Sus scrofa: one gene and its partners. The protein of the gene in region 2 purifies or fractionates together with the protein of the main gene of each other region. This does not show direct contact. Links are inferred from orthologs where the notes say so. Each region holds a gene or a part of one and is shown on either strand. Other genes may lie near its edges.

What was found.
Region 1: the proteins of USP15 (region 2) and PRPF3 purify together in Homo sapiens (affinity purification with mass spectrometry; 3 studies listed by BioGRID and IntAct, with this or other methods). This does not show direct contact. The link is inferred for Sus scrofa from reciprocal best matches to the Homo sapiens genes USP15 and PRPF3.
Region 3: the proteins of USP15 (region 2) and PSMD14 purify together in Homo sapiens (affinity purification with mass spectrometry; 3 studies listed by BioGRID). This does not show direct contact. The link is inferred for Sus scrofa from reciprocal best matches to the Homo sapiens genes USP15 and PSMD14.
Region 4: the proteins of USP15 (region 2) and RNF40 purify together in Homo sapiens (affinity purification with mass spectrometry; 4 studies listed by BioGRID and IntAct, with this or other methods). This does not show direct contact. The link is inferred for Sus scrofa from reciprocal best matches to the Homo sapiens genes USP15 and RNF40.
Region 5: the proteins of USP15 (region 2) and GLUL purify together in Homo sapiens (affinity purification with mass spectrometry; 3 studies listed by BioGRID, with this or other methods). This does not show direct contact. The link is inferred for Sus scrofa from reciprocal best matches to the Homo sapiens genes USP15 and GLUL.
Region 6: the proteins of USP15 (region 2) and SMAD2 purify together in Homo sapiens (affinity purification with western blotting; 4 studies listed by BioGRID). This does not show direct contact. The link is inferred for Sus scrofa from reciprocal best matches to the Homo sapiens genes USP15 and SMAD2.

The regions. Positions count from the first base shown.
Region 1 is NC_010446.5:98,751,225-98,754,724, forward strand, and holds part of PRPF3 (U4/U6 small nuclear ribonucleoprotein Prp3), read right to left. Parts: intron 3,219-3,500; coding exon 3,075-3,218; intron 2,392-3,074; coding exon 2,292-2,391; intron 2,119-2,291; coding exon 2,005-2,118; intron 534-2,004; coding exon 415-533; intron 136-414; coding exon 52-135; intron 1-51. UniProt on the Homo sapiens protein: Plays a role in pre-mRNA splicing as component of the U4/U6-U5 tri-snRNP complex that is involved in spliceosome assembly, and as component of the precatalytic spliceosome (spliceosome B complex).
Region 2 is NC_010447.5:27,065,514-27,069,013, reverse strand, and holds part of USP15 (ubiquitin carboxyl-terminal hydrolase 15), read right to left. Parts: intron 979-3,500; coding exon 895-978; intron 805-894; coding exon 710-804; intron 613-709; coding exon 421-612; intron 1-420. UniProt on the Homo sapiens protein: Hydrolase that removes conjugated ubiquitin from target proteins and regulates various pathways such as the TGF-beta receptor signaling, NF-kappa-B and RNF41/NRDP1-PRKN pathways.
Region 3 is NC_010457.5:68,162,879-68,166,378, reverse strand, and holds part of PSMD14 (26S proteasome non-ATPase regulatory subunit 14), read right to left. Parts: exon of another isoform or gene 3,135-3,500; intron 3,129-3,134; coding exon 3,057-3,128; intron 2,839-3,056; coding exon 2,719-2,838; intron 53-2,718; coding exon 1-52.
Region 4 is NC_010445.4:17,625,991-17,629,490, reverse strand, and holds part of RNF40 (E3 ubiquitin-protein ligase BRE1B), read left to right. Parts: intron 1-364; coding exon of another isoform or gene 365-367; coding exon 368-489; intron 490-576; coding exon 577-1,004; intron 1,005-1,089; coding exon 1,090-1,207; intron 1,208-1,326; coding exon 1,327-1,476; intron 1,477-1,651; coding exon 1,652-1,864; intron 1,865-1,943; coding exon 1,944-2,069; intron 2,070-3,500.
Region 5 is NC_010451.4:123,759,576-123,763,518, forward strand, and holds the start of GLUL (glutamine synthetase), read right to left. Parts: upstream 2,591-3,943; intron 2,371-2,590; coding exon of another isoform or gene 2,159-2,370; intron 2,021-2,158; exon of another isoform or gene 1,849-2,020; 5' UTR 1,740-1,848; coding exon 1,729-1,739; intron 65-1,728; coding exon 1-64. Other genes in the region: serine/arginine repetitive matrix protein 2-like, read left to right, coding at 2,159-2,370, 2,591-3,325, 3,667-3,817. UniProt on the Homo sapiens protein: Glutamine synthetase that catalyzes the ATP-dependent conversion of glutamate and ammonia to glutamine.
Region 6 is NC_010443.5:97,446,224-97,449,723, forward strand, and holds part of SMAD2 (mothers against decapentaplegic homolog 2), read right to left. Parts: coding exon 3,369-3,500; intron 1,360-3,368; coding exon 1,285-1,359; intron 1-1,284. UniProt on the Homo sapiens protein: Receptor-regulated SMAD (R-SMAD) that is an intracellular signal transducer and transcriptional modulator activated by TGF-beta (transforming growth factor) and activin type 1 receptor kinases.

The DNA of each region.
Region 1 (3,500 bases), on a different chromosome or scaffold from region 2:
GGACAGAGTACCATCCCACCTCCCACATACTCCCCTCTAACCCCCATTCACCATCTCCCTTTGTGTTAGATGTCTGTTCATCCCACTTTATCCGATGCAGCATAAGACGCTTAAATTTCTTCTGGGCCTTGGGGCCTATAAACAGAGAAGGAGAATTTTGCGAGAGTTGCAGAAGACCATGGGGTAGAAAGAACCTCCGAGCTCATTCAATGCTCAGACATTAAGTGCTAGAGCAGTCCCAGGAACCACATCTTAGGTCCTTCTACTCCAATAAACAGAAACAAAGGCCCAAGATATTATACTCAGGTACGGCTCTAAAATGACTATCTTTTTTTCTTTTCTTCCCACCATGCTAATCACTTCAAGGTCTAGGGTTGCCTGGGGACGTTCTCCCTCAATTTTTTTTAGACTCACCCCCTTCCACTACTACCACGTTGACATCCTTGTGCAGTACCACCACCCCTGTCAGGTACAGTTGCCCAGCATTGGCCTCAATCTTGAACTTCTTGGCTGGGTTGCTCAAATTTCGAACTCTGGAGAAGGGAGAGTTTAGTTATGGCTTTCATTTTAGCATCAGTAGCTGCCTGCATGGAATGGCAAATAAAGATGGATCCAAAATAGTTTTCTCTCTAAAAACGAAGGCATGTGGAGTAAGCAAATATACAAATGCTTAAAATGTAGAACTGATGAGTCTAGAATTCTTTTTTTTTTTTTTTTTGTCTTTTTTGTCTTTTCTAGGGCTGCTTCCCACGGCATATGGAGATTCCCAGGCTAGGGGTCTAATCGGAGCTGTAGCCACCAGCCTACACCAGAGCCACAGCAACGCGGGATCTGAGCCGCGTCTGCGACCTATACCACAGCTCACGGCAACGCCAGATCCCCAATCCACTGAGCAAGGCCAGGGATTGAACCCGCAACCCCATAGTTCCTAGTCGGGTTCGTTAACCACTGAGCCATGGCAGGAACTCCTAGAATTATTTCTACTGTTGTAAGCTTCTTCAGAGTTTGCAGTGTATACCCTAAAACAAATAGCAATTTCCCTGATCAAACTTTAAGAATGAAGAAAAGATATTTACCATCATCCAAAAATATTTATATGGCAGTTGTTCTTGAGTACAAAGAGCAACAAATTCTTTGCCCTTCAGATGCTTATAATGTAGTGACAATACTATGCATGAAAAATTTCTAGGACACATGAAAAACTGTAAGTGGCAACTACCTAGAGTGAGTGGTCCTAAGAGATCAGAGAATAGGAAAAGGACTTTTTCAGTAAGTGTCCTTTGTGTTGTTCAAATGTTCATTATCTTAGTAAGGATTCACTACCTTTGTTTTTTTTTCCTAGCTGCAACTGTGGCTCATGGAAATTCCCAGGCCAGGGATGAAACCCACACCGCAGTTGCAGCAACACCAGATACTTAACCTGCTATGCCACATGGGAATTTCCATAATGTGCCATTTTTATAATAAAGAACTATTTACTAAACATGAACTCAAATAAAAGATACACATGTACTTGACATAAAAGAATAAAATGAAAACAACACAAAAGGAAGAAAATATTTACAGTGTATAAAGCCTATTTTGGAGTGGGAATAAAAGGTTTAACACATTAGAATAAAGATATAATTAACTGAGGAAAAAACTTTTAATGCTTCCTAGAGAAATAATATACTTCATAGAAGATAAATGATACTTAGTTTACATTTTAGCCTGAACAAGCATATTCATTCACTCATTCTTCAGAACCAGTACTAGTTCACTAAGACCTCAGAGAACTAAATTCATGAGAGAACCACTAATATTCAAGAGCGAACTACTCTTCTGAGTAGGTTTTTTAACCCTTGCCATTGTAAAAGATTGACTAGCTCTTGATTTACACTAGGTCATTACAAGAGAGTTGAGGCTGATGTTAGGTATGCTTTAGACCACAGTGATTCTGTCTTAAGCACTTGGAAAATATTTTGATATCTCTAAGGGAAAGGCTGGCCCAGTTTGGACACCTACCTATATACAGATATGTGTACCCCCTGTGAAATGTCTTCTTTAAGCTTTTTAATTTTCTTGACCTTTCTCTGTTCTGCTGTAAGTTTTCGGGCAGCGTTGGCCTCTTCATGCGCTCTGTCGTGACAGGAAGGACATCCACAAGTGAGAAAGGCATTGAAGATCAGAGGCAGGGCTGAGGGAAAGAGAGAGCAACGGAGGACTCTCCCCTCCCTCCAAATATGGATTCCCCCAGAAGAGTTTGGGAAAGGTACTTGCCCTGGGTTTCCACCCAATCCCATGGCACTTACTTCTGTCTTTTTGCCATCTGAGCTCTGACATGGGCTTCTACCTTCGTGGGGTCTTGAACAGCTTCTGTTCCTAATACTCGCATCAAATTTGAAATTCTCACTGTAGTGAAGAGAGGACAGACATCAATCTCCTAAGTCACTACTCTAACTAGGATAACCCGTCAATCTCTTCTCTACCAATTCATATTATTCGCCTATTTCAAATCTCTGCTCAAAACTCACTTTCTCCAGATACTCCTACCCTGAAAGACCATCCAATTAACTCAGCATTTGTGGAACATCTATTAGTCTAAATAGCTGGTATGCATTTATTCACATTGCTTGAAAATTTACAAAAGACAGAGAATTTAATTCTTTGGCATTTTTCACTCTGATCACAGCATTTAGTGAAAGGTCCTATACATAAACTCAAAGTATTACTAAATGATAACGGAGACTATAGGAGTGAGGTTTAACTAGATTTTCATTTTTTGAACATTAGAATTATGAACGTAACTACTCTATGCAGATACTCCAACTACTATCTTGATGAATTTCAAAGCTATTATTCTTCCAGAGTGTTACATGGTCAATACTACTTTTTAAAAAAGCCTTAAATGACCTCTACAATGACTATGTTGACCTGTCTTAATAAGACAGTAGAAAATTTAGGAAAGGAAAAAAAGAATCAATGAATGATTCTGAGAAACAAAAAACAAAAAAAATGTAGGGAGATGCTCAAGTTCTTCTAGAGTGACAGAGATAAACTTGCCACCCTTTCTTTCTTGCCTCTACGATATGTACCTTTGGGTTCTGGAGGAGGCATCAGGCCCAGCCTGACTTTCTCTTGTAGTTCCTTCTGTGCTTCCCTCCTTGTTTGCCTTCGAAGTTTCTTCTGTTCCTTCTTGGTCAGATATACCCCAAGAGTAACTGGTGTGTCATTGTCAACTGTCAGGCAGGAAAATGAATGTACAAAAACAAATAGCATATTAGAGAGATATAGGTAAATATCAATCACATTAAAAGGACTTTTGGTTTGGGTTTTTTTTTATAATAATAATAATAATCCATGCTATTTTGGATATGTCTTTAAAAAGCATTCTTATATTTCAGGAGTTGTATTCTACTTGTTTTTCTTTTAACCTTTTAACCAACTGAAACGTGGCTAATGGAAAATATAATATTACAGCTGCTCTGGCTGCCCTGTGTGAGGATTTGGGTTAGGTAGAA
Region 2 (3,500 bases):
TAAGACAAAAAGGGGTTGTTCCACAAAAGGATCAACTGTCAAAGTTTATCCTTTTAAATAAAACTATTTGTAAGAGTTCTTCATATTAGTATGAGCAGTGTGTATGAAGAAATCAAGCATCTGACATTTGTTATAATTACAGAGTGCATATGTGATAAATTCCTATTTTCTTCCAACTGTAAACTTGTGGTGTAAAAAGCTAAAAGAATTCATGCTTCCTGGGTGTGAAATTACCTCAGTAATGTGTTTTTCATGATCAAGAAATGAATCAGACTGTAATTTGATTTCTTTCATTGCTACCTGTCTAAACAGTGTTGAGATAATATAGACAACTAATGACATTCTGAGAGTACCTTGCATGTTTACTTTTATTAGTTATTTAATATTTTATTTTGTAAATGAGAACTGTTTCGCACTTACCACATTCTCACAAGCAGAAGATTATAGAGTTTATCTTCAGTATTGTTTCGTGGTACAGCCATAAGAAAAGGCTGACCAAAAAGTGAGGAACCAGTATGGTGGGTATAACTTGAGTGTCTAAATTTTTCTCTCAGGCAAACAGGAATAATCACATGCTCTGTATCTTCTGTCCTATTGATGTTAATTTCAAACCTACAAGGATAAAACTGACTATAACTCTGAAAATTTTATGATATTTCCTTTAAATTTTTTCTCAAGTAATATTTTCCACAATAAATTTTATACTTACACATAAATATCATCCCGTTCCATAATACTACTAAGGTTTTCATCCATAGCAAATATTCTGTGAAATCTATGATTGTATATATCAGTAACTATCATCTAAAAGAAAATAAATTTCTATTAAGCTGGTTTTACAACACTGAAAAACTAAACTCCAACTCACATACTTTAAATCCCAAAACACCCTACCTTATCTGCAGGTACTCCTGAAAGAGTAGACAACGCTGTACAAAGATCAAGTATGTTTCCAATTTTGGGGACAACCACTTTGTACTAAAAAACAAAAAAATTATAACAAATGTTTTACTTTGGAAAAAATATTCACTAGGTAAGACTAACCTTCTGGTTGCTACAGTTGGCATCTGGCTCACACTGTCCATCTCCAATCTTGTCATCATTCTGGGTAATGAAGTCCATGTGGATGATTTATCTTAGCCTTATTGTTTCTTGACACCTCAATTCAAAGACCTATACTTGCACTCAACTGTAGTTCACTTCTTGGGCCTTGTCATCCCCTGCTCCCCTCCTGATATCATTTTTAAACTCTTAACTGTGTAACCACTATTTACTTTTCCTAGAAACTCATGCTTTCCTATTCTTGGCCTGCACTGAGATATCTAGTCCTTTTATTAAAAGACTGAACTTTCCCCTAGCTTACTAGTTCCCTACCATCCCCATGGCCTTCCATCCAGACTTGATGTGATTCATCACTTCAACTATTCTACCGTAAATCTTAAACTACTTTGTCAATAGTTTTTTTCTTGCTATACTTTCTTAGAGTTGTTTAGATATGCTAAACTGCCCAACTTTAGAGGTTAGTGTGCTACAAATTCATAGTGCCCAGTATCAACTGATTCTTCAACACTAGCCAGAAATTCTTCTGTGTGTCCTTTATTTGCTTATTCTCCTCTATTTCATGATAACTATTTAAAATCTTCACCATTCCTTAGGCTTCCTATTTCACCACTTCTCCCCTCACTATTTGCAGAATACCTATTTCACTGAGGAAATAAGTGGCTACTGGATAGGAAAATCTCTAATTTCCTGTTCCCCCTACAAACTTGAGTCTGAAAGGTTCCTTTCTTTGTCTCCTCCCACATATGGAAAGAGAATCAGGGGTTATTCCTTCCATTCAAAGCTAACCCTAGCATCTAAACTCTGAATCCTATCCTTTTTTGGCCTCCTCTAGAACATAAACCCAGCAATCATCCTTTATTTCATTTTATCTTGACTCTTTTATAAATATTGAAATGCATACAAGTCTGAAAAAACAAAACAGTCTCTCATTGCTTTCTTATAATTCTCCTCTAATTATCTCCCTTTCTCTTAGGCTTTATAAATAACCTCGTTAATGCTTACACTGACTACTGGTAATTTCTTCACTTCCCATTCACTTATTAATCCACTGCTGGATTCGGTCTTAACTTCTTTATTTAACTTGCTACCAAAGCTGTCTATACTGTCATTTAACCAAATCTTCATCAGTCCTTATTTTACTGACCTCTCTGTAGCCTGACTGCTGACCACTTCTTCCTTTAAAATTTTTCTTTCCCTATAGCACTACTACTACTTATTCTTTTCTAATGCCCTGGTCATACCTTCTTTTGAGGAAATAACTGACCCTCTAGTGTTGTCCTTCAGAGTTTTATCCTTAGCCTTCTTGATTCTATATGCTCTTAGACTAGGTGACTATTCTGGTTTGCTTTGGATAGTCCTGGATTAGCCTGCTATCCTGGCATAACTATTAATAAAGGCCCTACTTATTTTTTTTAAAAAGTTCTGGTCTATATGATACATTAAAGGATCACCCTAGCCTTAGGTGATCTCATTCTTCTAAGACATTCTTCTAGGGCAGATCTCTCTTCTCTAGCCTACATAGATAAAGTCAATCAATGCCTACTGATATCGCTCCTAAATTTTCCTCATGAATCTCAACATGTCCATATGCAACAGAGATTTGGGTCATTTTAGGTCAACATAGCAATAACTAAAACAGGTTTCTTCCTATATATTCCAATAAAACAAACAGTTCCACTCTCTCCTGTTTTCCAGTTGAATGAACTGAATACTCTTAAACATGTTCAACTCCTACATTCAACTGGTTCTTCTATCTAACTGCCACCCTGACACATACCTTAAAAGTCCCCTGTCATTTGTCAGTGCAAAAGCTTCCTACCTGGTCTTAGTACTTCTGATTTAGGCATTTCTAATCCAATCTTTCCACTAGCCAGAGTATTCTTTCTAAAATACAAATCTGACAATATAATCTCTTTACTTAATAACCTTACATGGTTCCCTCATTCTTTAGGATGAAGTCCAAACTTCCTATCTTAGCATTAAGGTTCTTTGTGATCTAGCTTCTGCCTACCGTATTATTTACTTATAGTTTCCATAAGCAGACCATGTTCTCTTTTGCCTCAGCCCTCTCTTGATCTATAATGTTTTATTCCCAACCTTCACGTGCTTAAAACCTAATGATCCCGAGTTTCTGTTGTGGCTCAGTGGTAATGAACCAATGAAGGATGTGGGTTCAATCCCTGGCTTCACTCAATGGGTTAAGGATCTGGAGTTGCTGTGAGCTGTGGTGTGGGTTGCAGATGCAGCTTGGATCCTGCGCTGCTGTGTCTGTGGTGTAGGCTGGAAGCTGCAGGTTCTAATTCGACCCCTAGCCTGGGAACGTTCATATGCTGTGGGTGTGGCCCTAAAAGACACCCCTTTCCCCCAAAATAACCCTAGTCATCCTTCAGGATTTAACACAGGTGTCATCACTGGTTTGAGGTTATTCCTTCTGTATG
Region 3 (3,500 bases), on a different chromosome or scaffold from region 2:
TATCTAACATTTTGGCTTGGAACACTGGATCAACTGCTTCTACACTGACACCCTGGTTTAGAGAGAAAGAAAAATGATGAGCTTCTATAACAATGAAAAAAAATTTTATATTACAATGTAATGAACAAAAAGCTAAAAACCTATGCAGGTTTTGGTAACCATATTTGATACCCACTCAAGTCATCTGATTATAAACCATACAGCAATAAAACTTCTAAATTTGCCAAGTACCAAACTGCTAACGCTAATGAGTTAGGATAATTTACAAGACCCTTTAAAAGAGTTTAAGATCATGACTAATGTGTGCGCGCGCGCACACACACACACACACACACACACACACACACACACACAAAGAAATAACCCCGATAGGTAAACCAACTATTTTTTGGTTAGCACTATCTAGGCAAGCATACTTCCTGTCATCCTTTGATAACTGATAAGCACTAGGTCTCAGTACATCTCATCCAAAGTTCTACAACTATTCTACTATAATAAGCAACAGCCTCAAGTTTCTCTCTCTTCCCCCTCACCCCCACCCCCCAGTAAACACATTGAGGAAGGAAAGTAATTTATTAGTTTTCCCAGAGTTGCATTCATTTTCTGAGGGGTGGGGAGGAAGTTCTGTGCTTTAGTTAGGACTACTTGGTAGATTAGACAATTGGAGGGAAATATATACTTTTGATTATTACCTCAAATATGAAAGCATTCACAAAAAATTCCCCACAAGAGACAATCTGTAATCAAGTCTTTTAAATGTTGCATTATTTCACTAGTTCAACCAAAAGAAAATTTTAGGATATGAAGAACTAAAGGCATTCATATCATCTCTCCAGGGAGAGATCACTGCCATTATAGTTCCCTCCAGGCTTTCCTTTAACATCAGGAATTTAAGTCTAATCTATTTAAACAAACCAGTTAACATAAGTACTTCTTCCCACCAAAACAAACAGTATTTTGAATTCTAATTGAGAGTGCATCCTCAAGAACAGGGGTATGCAATCTGCTGCCTACAGGCTAAGATTTTTTTTTTACATTTTAAAGGGTGGTTTAAAAAAAATAAATAAACCAGGAATAGGAGACAGAGACATATGTCTTTACAGAAAAAGTTTGCTAACTCTTAGGCTAGAAGAAAAACTTTCCAATTCTAATACACGGAGTGAACCTAGGGATCAAATATAATATTCTAATATTCCCTAACCCTAACCCTAACTCTATTTTATGTTGTCAAGTAAGCATTTACAAATAAATACATGATATTAAAGCTTAACAACCCTTTTTATAATGAACATCGACTAAGGACGATACATAACAGAAATAACAAAATGCTTTTATTTTAGTATGCTTCATATATTCTGACATAAAAAAATAGATACAAGTAATAATAGTCTAAGATTTAAACCTATATCTTTAGGTAATATGGAGTGTATTTCTCTATGCCCAAATACACAAAATAAATACAATGGATATAAATCCAGGTGGACAAAATCTGCAGGTCTAAATTACTTTACCTCAACAAACTGATCTATTTGGAGAAAAAAACTTGTGTCTTTTTCTGTATTTTGCATTATTTATAAATACACTGTATTCTGCAGCAACTACTCTATTTAAAGTGCTTATCATAGAGTTCCCTGGTGGCCCTGTGGGTTAAAGATCTGGCGATGTCACTGCTCTGGCATGGGTCTGACCCCTGGCCTGGGACCTTCCACATACTGCTGAAGTAGCAAACAAAACAGAACAAGAACAAAAATGTTTATTATATATAGGTATGTATATGTATATATACACATATACACTTCATTATTTTAAAATAGGATTTGTTTTTCTCTAGCATTCACTTTATCAAAGTATACTCACAGTAAAGAGCCTCAAGCAGAGCAAACAGTTTTATGACAATTTCTTTAATCCAGATATTTTACAAGGCTCAATAAGAACAGTGTTGCATATTAGAGAAAAAAATTCATCAAGTAAATATATATTCCTAGGCAAATAGATGAGAAGGGAAGTAGAACAGTTGTTTTTTGGCCATTTAAAAAAAAATCTGAATATACACCTATCTACAAGTCCAACGAATTAAACAAAACAACAAAACAAAACAAAAAACTCCCAGAAAGAACAATGAGCTCTAAAGGAGCAGAGTAGAGGACTTTCAAAATCTACATTCAATACACTTCTTCTATAAGCAAATTACCATACCTAGGCAAAAAGAACTAAAGTTTGTCATGGTGTTTTGGGTTTCTGAAACTTAACATTTTGCATCAGAAAAGCTTAAGAGTCATCTATCACCATATATAGAATATTGTAAGAGCCATATTTCAAAACAATCAGAACAAAACATGAGGATTGGATAATGCACGTGAATTAAAAATCTAATTAAGAGAGTCACTAAAATCATTTGAACCTAGTGTTCAAACTAATCAAACTAATATTCTACTATCTTAACGTAACTAATTTATAAACCCAGAATGTGTTGCTAGTTAAAGCTGAAGGTACAAGGAAAGAGACTGTTAGCATCACTCAGTTTGTGGACCTATAGGGAATTTATGATGCATTTAAAAGATCAATGATTTAATTCACTACAATATAAAATTTCCTATCATTAGTCTTATGATGAATTTTTCCTATCATAAAGAGAAAATTACAATATGATGAGTTATTCTGCATAAGAAAAGAAAAGAAACAAATTTACTTGCAGCAGGCAACCATGAAAGTACTCACTGTTCCCGACTGTGGCATAGCAAACACATCAATCACTCTGACGGTGTAATCATCAACAAATTCTCCAAGCATCAGACCCATAACTTCCATTGGAACTCCAGCGCGACCATGTTTTAACATCTGTAAAGAGGAAGATAGAGACACAAAGCTTTGAGATCTTTGGACCCTTTTTAAAATAAATTCATAACCCAATTGCATTTCACTGGAAACATACTCTATAGATGTACCTAAAACAACAGCTTATGTATGAGAGGATTAACGTGAAAACTATTACAAACTAAAAGATACAGTGCAAGCAGCAGAGCTCTCTAAAACAAGTATTTACATTCAATACTTACTTTCAATAGTGCCAGGGAAGAGATATAGACTTGTTCTGCTGTGTCCACAGCAGGAGCATCTGTAGGTGGCCCCTAGAAATAAGTATAAATCATATATAAATACACGGAATTTATGAATTTAAAATTAAAAGTTACATTTATTTAAACACGATCATCTTAAAAGCGTTTAGGGAAAATATGTTAAGTATCCTTTAATTCACTTACAACACGAATAATCAAACCAAGCTAGAAAATATCAAACCTGCAGAAAACATCAAACTTAGGCAAGTGTCCAGTGGATATAATGCTTGAATCTTGCAGCAATGCTAATTTACCTCCACTACAAAACAGCTACAATGCGCCAATTAGCCATGTTTTTTATCTCAGTGTGAATGTAAACTGCTGTTGGACTAGTATGATTAACTGAACGTCCAACACAAACAGTAAATTCTCTGAGCTTGATTT
Region 4 (3,500 bases), on a different chromosome or scaffold from region 2:
TTTTGGCTTTTAGGGCCATACCCGCGGCATATGGAGCTTCCCAGGCTAGGAGTCCAATTGGAGCTGTAGCCTCCAGCATACACCACAGCCACAGCCACGCCAGATCCAAGCTGTGTCTGCGACCTACACCACAGCTCACGGCAACGCTGGATCCTTAACCCACTGAGCAAGGCCAGGGACTGAACCCATGTCCTCATGGATCCTAGTTGGGTTCATTACCACTGAGTCACAACAGCAACTTCGAGATCACATTCTTCCTAAGGCTTTGGTTTTCCTCTCCTTTGTAATGGGCATGATGGCTCTGGCCCTGCCACCTCTGCCACTGGTTGGGCCCCTAGCCAGTCCCTTGGTGCCTGTTCTCTTCCAGGGCCCATCAACAGGGAGATGCGCCACCTGATCAGCAGCCTCCAAAACCACAACCACCAGTTAAAGGGGGACGCCCAGCGATACAAGCGGAAGCTGCGGGAAGTGCAGGCTGAGATCGCCAAGGTGAGGAGAGGGCTGCCTGGGAAAAGCTGTGGCTACATGCCAGTAAGCATGTCACCCCCCCATCCCTGTTCTCTCTCTGCTTTGCAGCTCCGGGCCCAGGCCAGTGGCTCTACCCACTCCATCCCCACCCTGGGCCACCCAGAGGACTCCGGCCTCAGCACCCCAGCCCCAGGGAAAGAAGAAGGTGGCCCAAGCCCTGTTGTTGCCCCTGACACCAGAAAGGAGGTGGCTTCAATGCCTGGCACCACTATTACTACCTCCTCGGCAAAAAAGGAAGACTTGGGCCCCCCAGAGGAAGAAGCCCAGGCCCTGAACCCCGGGGCCCAGGGCCCCTCCTCCCGGGGCCGAGAACCCGAGGCCAGGCCCAAGCGGGAGCTTCGGGAACGCGAAGGGCCGGGCCTGGGACCCCCATCTGTGGCCTCGGCACTCTCCCGGGCTGATCGGGAGAAGGCCAAGGTGGAGGAGGCCAAGAGGAAGGAATCAGAACTCCTCAAAGGTCTCCGCGCAGAGCTCAAGTGAGGCCCTCCTCCTTTCTCCTTCCAACCGCTGCCCAGTGGCCTCCAACCCTAGTCACCAAGGCTTCCTCCTGTACCCCCCCAGGAAGGCCCAGGAAAGTCAGAAGGAGATGAAGCTGCTGCTGGACATGTATAAGTCCGCGCCCAAGGAGCAGCGGGATAAGGTGCAGCTCATGGCAGCCGAACGCAAGGCCAAGGCTGAGGTGAGGGCAGGTAGGGCCTGTGGGACGCGCAGAGAAGCTGCCTCAGGGGGTTCAGACCAGAGTGGAGCCCTAGGGGTGCAGTACTGGGATAGAAGAGCTCCCTCCTCTGGTGCTGATAGGTCGACGAATTGCGGAGCCGGATCCGGGAACTGGAGGAGAGGGATCGGAGAGAGAGCAAGAAGATCGCCGATGAGGATGCCTTGCGGCGCATTCGTCAGGCAGAGGAGCAGATAGAACATCTGCAGCGCAAGTTGGGTGCCACCAAGCAGGTGTGACCCCCTTCTGGTCCCCTTGCCTCTGAATGTTGGAATTCTCCAAACTTCTTGTAGTAGTACACAGCCTGCATTTGCTCAGTGGTTCCTCGGTCAGCCGTGTGTTCCTCTGGTTTCCCCGCTGTCCTGTCCCTCTGCCACATTCCCTCTTGCCCCTGCCCACTTGCTGCAGGAGGAGGAGGCTCTGCTGTCCGAGATGGATGTGACAGGCCAGGCTTTTGAGGACATGCAGGAGCAGAATGGGCGGCTGTTGCAGCAGCTGCGGGAAAAGGACGATGCCAACTTCAAGCTGATGTCTGAGCGGATCAAGGCCAACCAGATTCATAAGCTGCTGCGGGAGGAGAAAGATGAGCTGGGCGAGCAGGTTCTTGGCCTCAAGTCTCAGGTAAGCTTGCCATGGGCTGGGAGAGTGGAGCTGGAGAGGCAGGGATGTCCCAGCACTGAGTCCCCACCCCTGCCCTCAGGTGGATGCCCAGCTGCTGACCGTGCAGAAGCTGGAGGAGAAAGAGCGGGCCTTGCAGGGCAGCCTTGGGGGTGTAGAGAAGGAGCTGACGCTGCGCAGCCAGGCCCTGGAGCTCAACAAGAGGAAGGTGAGGCTGTACGTGAAGGTACAGCGACCTGGGATGCTGGCTCACACTCTCACTTTGTGATTCTGTCTAGAGAACTCCAAGCAGACCACCTGGGCTGAAGCCCCGCTCTGCTTCCTCTCTCAGCCTGGCTCATGTGTCAAAACACTCATTGAATTCCAGGCCCTGCGCCCAGAACATCCCATGAGTGGTCACGTTTAGGTGTCACCATAACCCCACAGTGGTGTTTGTTGTCATCCTCCTTTCATAAGTGAGGATACGGCTCAGGCAGGTAGTTGACTTGCTTAAGAAAGAGAAGAACCGGAATGTGGGCCTGGGTCTCCCTGACGGCGGCGTTGGCCAGCCATGCGATGGGGCTGGTGGCCCTGTCATGTGGATGGATGAAACCTAGAATGTCAAACTCACGGTGGGTGTTTCTGAGGGGAGCAGACTTAGGAAGGGCCTGTGTCACCATCTTGGTTTCACTCTTCTAGTTCATAGTAAAGGCTTACAGTTAACACTGAGGTGTTCCTTTGTGGCTCAGTGGGTTAAGGATCCAGCATTGTTACTGCTGTGGCGCAGGTTCGATCCCTAGCCTGGGAACTTCTGTGTGCCACAGGTGTGGCCAAAAAGAAAAAAAAAAAAAAAAAAAAAAAAGATGAATGTTGATTTTCATCTTCTTTTCCCAGCTGGACTTTTTCTCCTCCACTGAGCTCATTCATTTACACAGTATTAGTCATGCCCTCGGGAGATATCAGGACCTACACTCAGTGCTGGGGGCTCATGGGAGCAGGACAGCCCTGCTGGAAGTGGGGACTTCCAGATTTTGGGGGGGGGGGTTGTCTTTTTCCCATTTCTTGGGCTACCCCTGCAGTATATGGATGTTCCCAGGCTAGGGGTCTAATCAGAGCTGTAGCCGCCGGCCTACGTCAGAGCCACAGCAACGTGGGAACCGAGCCTCGTCTGTGCCCTCCAGCCCTACACCACAGCTCACGGCAACACCAGATCCTTAACTCACTGAGTGAGGCCAGGGATCGAACACGCAATCTCATAGTTCCTAGTTGGATTCCTTAACCCCTGAGCCACCACAGGAACTCCCGGGAATTCCAGTTGTGAGGGATGGATAGGAATCCTACAGATGAAATAGCATTATTACAGATGGCAGTAAGTTTTATGAAGGAAACTGAAGTGCATAAAAAAAAAAAAATAGTATATAGCCTTTCTTGGGAAGGGACACTGAGCTGAGGCTTAGGAGGAGTGGCAGGAAAGAAGTGTGTGTGCAGGGGGAGTTGAGGGGAACAGAGAGGAGCCCTGTGCTCTTCAGGAGAGCATCATGCAGCTGAGAAACTGACAGTGTTGGGGATGAGGGAGAACAGGAGGAGGTGAGGGTGGAGAGGTCCGGAGGCAGCACCAGCTCCAGTGGATATACTGGACTTGATCCCAAGAGCAGGAATC
Region 5 (3,943 bases), on a different chromosome or scaffold from region 2:
GTACACCTGCTTGATGCCTTTGTTCAAGTGGGAGCTCGCTGAGGTGGCCATGGTGGACGGTGTTCTGGAGAAAAAGAGAGAAAACAGAAAACAACTAAGAACACCAACTCCAGACAAACCCACTGCAGGAATGACTCATTAGGGATAATTAAATCAAGAAGTCAAGTGGGAGTGGTGGCCCTTCCCTTTGGAAACCACACACACACACACACACACACACAAAAGTACACACAGTACATTTATTTAATTGTACACACACACAGTACATTTTTAATTTGCTTTCAGAGAGATTAAAAAGTGTGTTTGTGGCTGCACTCTCGGCATGTGGAAGTTCCTGGGCTAGGGATCAAACCTGCGCCGCCACAGTGGTAGGAATGCCGCTTCCTTAACCCACTGCACCACAAGGAACTTTCTAAAAGTTTATACTAGACAAAAATCTCCTGATAAGCCTCCTCAAGCTAGAATCTAAACTTGTGAGGACCAAGTTCTATTTTTTGCAGTGTACCAGAGGTAGAGGAATTTTTCATTTCTCATACTAAAGATACCAGAAGAGGAAAAAACCCCAAAACACACAAAAAAGAAAATACAGAAGTTCAGAAACAGGAAAGTTTGCAGAACAGACTGCGTCTCCAAGTAGACGCCAACCACAGCAAGGCTTAGCTGCTATGATCTCTGGACTGTCTTCCCTTTTCCTTGCACCCCAGAGGATATCTCAATAAAAAATCCTTTTGAAGATTCCTCCACCCCTCCAAAAACCAAACACTCTCCTGCCACCCACATAAAGTTGGTAGGGTGAAACAAGGGGCCCAGCTAGAAGGTTTAAGAGGTTGGTGGCTTCCTAAAACAACTGCAGTTATTATAACCACCAGGATATAAAAATAGCTGATTCAAGCTGGATTCTAAGATGCACATGGTCAATTTTCATCAGTTCTCACTTCAGAAAGTCAGTTTCAGTTTGAGAATGACCAGATTCCACCAGAGAACTTTGCAAGGAATTAAAAAATCCCCACTTCTAAATCAAAAAGATCTGGGGTTTCAAAAGCCTCTAGGCATACTAAAAACTGCAAACCCCTTAAAGAAGAGACACTGAGGCCACAAAATCAAACCTCAACACAAGAGGAAACGTTCTACCCCTCCAGTCCCGGGTTGATAGCCCTGGGTGGCTGCAAAGGGAACACATTGTTCTCCTCCAATGACTTGGGCAACTTTCTGAAGTACAGTGGCAAAGTTTCTATGGGCAACCGGCCCATGTTTGCCCAGCTGAAAACAAAACTGCTTCTCCCTCGGACAGCCTCACCCTTCCCCGAGGGGAAGAGAAGCTCTCTGTCATGTCGTGTTAGCAGACAACCACTACTTTTGCCTATTCCCTTTAGAAGATTTGGTCTGTCAAATACTGCTCCCCCTATCCCCAACTCATCCAGCCTTTAAAGGCAGGAACAACAAAAATCCCTGACTCTTATAAAGAATCCTATCTCCGGGCTTTCCACCCCAACCTGTTACATCTCCGACTTCAAGACACACTTTCTCCCTTAAGCTTGGGTTCTGCTCTTTTCAGTGGTGCCAGCTCGGTTCCATTACAAGTCGATTGCCAACATCCTAGTCTACTATTATGTTAACTGGTGCCGCCGCCCAGGTAACAAGATTAGTGGTGGTGGTGGGAGGGGATGGGATGCTGCAGGTTTTAGCCGTGTCTGCAGTTAGGGTCCTCATCCCTGCCTCCTCACTCACCCCAGCCACATAAGGTCAATGGTATCGATGGGGTTGCCCTCCTTAGCCCTTCTCCTTTTGGAGCTGCGTTCGCGCCTCTCGTGGGTCTCGGGCTCCCGCTGGTCCACGCACCGGAGCTTTCTGGGCGAGGGAGACGGAGAGGGAGAGGGAGTCGGAGTCGGGGAGGGGTCGAGATCCGACCGGGATGAGCAGGAATACGAAGGCTGGTGGGTCAAGGACTTGATTTTGACTCGCGGTTTCTCTCCAGCGTTCACTGAGTAGGCGACGAAGCCGAAGCAGTTGGAGGGGGACCCTGAGGACCGCGACTCCAGGTCGTCTTCATTTTCGTTTGTGATGGTCTTCGCGGATTTGCGGCCCGGGGAGGATCCCCGCTTCCCGCCCCCGGGGCAGTTGGAATAATCCACTTTGAGAGCGGCCCTTTCCCACTGAAATGTCCCGAACGTGGGCGCCCCGCCCGGGTCTCAGGGCCTCGTCAAGGGGGCCATACCCCTCCAAGGTCGGGGAGGGGGGAAGGGGGAATAGGGACGTCTGCCGGAGGGACAGCGGGCCACTGCTGCCCCTGCCCGGCCCGCCAGGCCTCTCCACCCCTCGCGCCCTCCGGGCCGCACCGCGCCTCTGGCACCCCATTGTTCAGTCACAGGGGTAGGCCCCCGGGACCCCGCGGCGGGAGCGGCCGCCCTGCACACGCTCACGGTCCTTTGCCTCCACGCAGGCGTCTAACCGCGCCGATCCGCCCCAGGGCCCGCCACTGCGGAGGAGGAGAGCGAAGCTTCCACCGAGGGACCACTCCGCCACACCGCCGGGCCGGGGGCTCCGGGCCCGGGCAGTGCCTCCACCACTCGCCCCGCTGAGCGACCTCCAGGGGCGACGCCTCTGGCCGCAAGCAGCTGAAGGAAGAGCAAAACAGCTCCCCGCCCTCCTCGAAGCCCGTCGATGCGCGCGCCCAGCCATCGCCAACCGAGACCCGCGGGAGCTACGAGCGGCTGAAGCCTGCGGGAGGCGCCGCAGGCCGAGGCGCTGAGAAGGAGCAGGAGGTGGCAAGGGCCGAGCCGAACCGATCCGTCCCGGCGCGGTGGCTCGGGAGGCGCGCGTCACTGCCGAGCCCCCGGTCGAGGCGGGCGCTTACCTGGGCGGCGAGCAGGAGGCAGGGCGGGCAGGCCGCGAGAGCGAGAATCGGAGCGGAGAGGCGAGGAGGCCGAGGGTGCTCCTTAAACCATCCGCTCTTCTCCCATTCTCGGCTCTGCAAGGCGGTCCGCCGCCCAGCAGCTTTTATCGGCGGCTGGGGCCGCCCCCGGCGTCCTGATTGGCTCCCAGTGGCCGGAGCCCGGGCAGATCAGCTGATGCGCGTCCCGGCCCCGCGACCATTGGGCGAGCTGCCGAGCGGGCGCCGCCGGGGTGGGGGCGAGCAGACCCGGGAAAGAAAGAAAAGGAAAGGGCCGTGGGGGAGGGGTGTGGGGGAGGGGAGCGAGGAAGGGCGGGCGGAGGGCCGAGTGCCTGCCGGGAAGGACCCCGAGGGCCCGGCTGCCGCGCGGCGCCGCGCTCGCACCCCCCCGCCCGCCGAGCCTGGGCGTTGCCTGCAGCCCCTTGCTGCCTTCAGGTTAGACATTTAGTGGGCGAGTTCTTTTTTTACGAGGTCACAGGGCAAGCCCCAGAGCTCCCGAGGAAATTCTGACCCCCGCAGACCCCCACTTTTGCCTTTTGTTGTTAAGAGACCCTTCCAGGCCCCCTCCCCGGCCCTCTGCTCCAGTCTGGGAAGGAGCGAGGGGTGTGGGTGAAGCTCTGGGCTCGCCTGGGCCGCAGCCTGGCCTGCAGAGGGGGGCTGCCAGAGGGAAGCCTACAAGAGCCCCTTCCCCGGGCTCTCGGCGGTCTGGGGACGCGAACCAAAGTCTCCGACCTCACCTTTGTAATGAACGTGCTGTGTTTTGTGTCATTTCCTAGGGATCCTCCTGGCGGGCAGAGACATAAAGTCGGGAGATCTGATTCTGTCTCTGCCACACCTGAGGCGACTCTGTCTCTCTGGGCCCAAGTTCCTACATCGGCCAATAAAGCGGCTCAAGAAAGGACTTTTAGAGCTGCCTATCAGATTTGAAATTTTGTGTGCAGTTTTCCAAGGGCAGCTGAAAGGCAAGTGAGGTCTTGGCATCTCCCCTTTGAAGCCCAGGGTATGTCAAAAATTTAGAATTCCTTAAACAGATTGTCTCTGGTTTTGCTTTTC
Region 6 (3,500 bases), on a different chromosome or scaffold from region 2:
ACATCAATGGCTGGAAGTTCTTGGGCCAGATGTTAAACCCAAGCCATGGCAGTAACCTGAGCCACAGCAGTGACAATGCTGGATCCCTATCCTGCTGAACCAGCAGAGAACTCTGGATATCTCCTATTTTAAAAAAATGTGATTAGCTATAGCAGAAGCTTCTTTACCTAGGAGTTTAAATAATGGAAGAATTTAAACAACAAAATTATTCTAAAAGCCAGGAGTTCCTGTTGTGGCTCAGCAGATTAAGAACATGGCATAGTCTCTGTGAGGATGCGGGTTCAATCCCTGGCCTAGCTCAGTGGGTTAGGGATCTGGTGTTGCTTTAAGCTGCAGTGTAAGTCACAGATGCGGCTCAGATCTGGTGTTACCATGGCTGTGGTGGGGGCCTTGGCTGCAGCTCCAATTCAGTCTCTAGTCGGGGAAATTCCATATGTCACAGGTACAGCCATTTAAAAGAAGGAAGAAAAAAAAAAAAAAGGCCAACCATCTTAGTCCCCACCATTTAAAAAATAACTAATATTATCATAAGTGCAGAATGCTTTACTATAAAATGTAAAAAAGCTGATGCTATACTCTGACAGGTTGGGATATTAAGGTGACCAATCCCTAAGCTATAAGCAGGGTGGAATAGATCAAAACAGACAATTACACTGACATCGTAGCTATTTCACTGGTAACCTATTAGTTCTGATGAGTTATATACATTTTATTACATAACTGTTTTAAAGCTTTGGTGTGTGTGATATTTATTACATGTTAAAATTTTCTCTTCGTTGTATTGGAAACTGGTAGCTAAATGTTAGAAATTAATTGAATTAGATCAGGCATAGTGTACAAGGTATTTGGTGTAAATGAGCTACAATAATTCAGAACTCACTATTAAGTTAAAAGAGCACTGAAAAGCTGATCCCATCTCTTAGCTCTAAATTCCTCTGAAAATTTGTTATTGGGCTAAAAGAGTCATCACAAAGATATTTATTCAGAGTAACTAAAACTTTAAACAGAAGCACAGAATACTTACAAAAGTATCTGAGTGTTCTTCATTTACTCTAATGAGAGAAAATTCTAACAATTCTTCTGCAGAGGAGCATATGTTAATCTTTCACTGAGAACAAGTCCTCCCTTTGATGGTCCGAATATGATTAAACCAAGATAAAAGATTTTTTTTGGATATGTGTCCAACTTCTTTAAATGTAAAGGTTATGAGTAACTCTAGTGAGTTTTAAACAAGGCAAAAATGTATTATCTAACTACAGAGAAATTTTGAAAACTATTTCTTACCTGTGTCCATACTTTGGTTCAACTGTTGATCACTCGTTTCTCCATCTTCACTGATATATCCAGGAGGTGGCGTTTCTACAAAAGTTTAGAACAAATCAAGTATAGCTGCCATCTAATCTCATCATCTTTTCTCCCAGCTACCAAAGATGACCAACAAATCACTCCAAGTAACAAACATGAATGTTTTATAACATTACTATAAAAAGTAATACTTGGATGCATTCCCATCATGGCGCAGTGGAAACGAATCCAACTAGGAACCATGAGGTTGCAGGTTTGATCCCTGGCCTCACTCAGTTGCTGTGATGAGCTGTGGTGTAGGTCGCAGAGGTGGCCAGCAGCTGCAGCTCCAATTTGACACCTAGCCTGGGAACCTAAAAAAAAAAAATGCCTCGGATGCAGCCCTAAAAAGAAAAAAAAAAAAAAAAAAAAGAAAGAAAGAAAAAAAAAGCAATATTGGATACTGAGGGCTTATGATTCAGGTTCTTCCCAACCCTTACAGGTGAAGAGAAGTCTTAAAACCTACTGGTAATACAATTGAGCTCTCTGGAGAATATTTTGTTAGCTATTATTTACATATCTGGCTCATTCTCCTATGTGTATTTTCTGGGGCAAGAGCCAAAAATATAACTTCAAAAATGCCTCGGATCTGAATCAGTATGCTTCAAAGAAATTAGTACCCACATTTTTCTTTTTTAAACCAATAGCCATCATAGATGGGTACTTAGAGATGATTAAAGGACACACAAAACACCCAAACAAGATTTCAGATTACAAAGTAATACAGGCTTACATCTTACACTAGGTTCTTTAGGGCAAAATACAGTAATATAGCTTAGGACTGGTCTAACTTGAATTCTACCTAAAAAGTATATTGCTCCAGGGATTTCTAACCAGTAAATCCTGAGGGAAATTCAAATATAGGCTACTACACAAAACTAAGGTAAACTATTTCCTGAAAAAAAAAAAAAAAAACAGGATTCTACTCTTTTTTTTTTTTTTTTAGGGTCGCACCTCAGCATACGGAGTTCCCCGGCTAGGGGTTGAATCGGAGCTGTTGCTGCCAGCCTACGCCACAGGCACAGCAATGCCAGATCTGAGCCGTGTCTTTGACCTACACCACAGCTCACAGCACCCCTGGATCCTTAACCCACTGAGCGAGGCCAGGGATCGAACCTACAACCTCATGGTTCCTAGTTGGATTCGTTTCTGCTGCGCCATGTCGGGAACTCTAAAAAAAAAATAGGATTCTAACATGTCATTATGATTTATGAACAAAATGTTTATATTTGGGAGGCATCTGAGTATCTAAATAAGTTCCATGTAAAATAAAAATATTTATACTAGCAATTATAATTTCAAGAAGGAAAAAGTTTAACATTTAACACTGTTATAGTTTTAAGCAATGTTTTACATTAATGCTGACATGTACTAAGAATTTTGTAATTATCAAAAGGAGGATAAAAAAGAGATGGATTAAAGGTCCCCTTCATTAACTCTTAACAATCTTTCTTCAGTAAGCCAACTATAAATTTTAAGTACCAAACTTTTCATTTAAGTGTCAGTGCCCCCCAAAATTTAATAATGAAATTCACAAAATAAAATAAATTCCGTCATATACTCAAAACAATGAAGATACAAAAATAAGAATACAAACCATTATGTGCTATTTTAAAGGTTAAAGCAAATAAAATTAAAGAGAGATAAGCTTTGCCGGTTTAACCACCCATGACTTAAAGGTCTAAATACGAAGAAATACTGAAATTATATTTTATCCTTTTTCATTTTTCTCTATTACTATTTATCTATAAAATAATAAATAATAAAGCTACTAGAGTTTTGGGAAAAAATGTTAAAATTTCTTTTGCAGTGGAATAAAAAGTAAATTCCAAGGTTTTGCTGTCTGCTGGAGCAGGATAAGCCCCGCTGTCCAGAAAAGCAGACAGGTGTAATTTTTCTATTCAAAATCCAGAGCATTTTTTTAAAAGCCCAGTCATAAAACTATTAGTATGCTAATACATGAATGTTTATGCACACAATTGGTATGTATCCCAAATTTTAGGAGACTCAAAGGGCCAAAATACCTGGGATATAATTACTCTGTGGCTCAATTCCCGCTGGGAAATTAGTGTTTTCTGGAATGGAGTGGGTATAATCATCCAGAGGTGGTAGTTCTGTTAAGATCTCAGTATGCCGTGGCACTAATACTGGAGGCA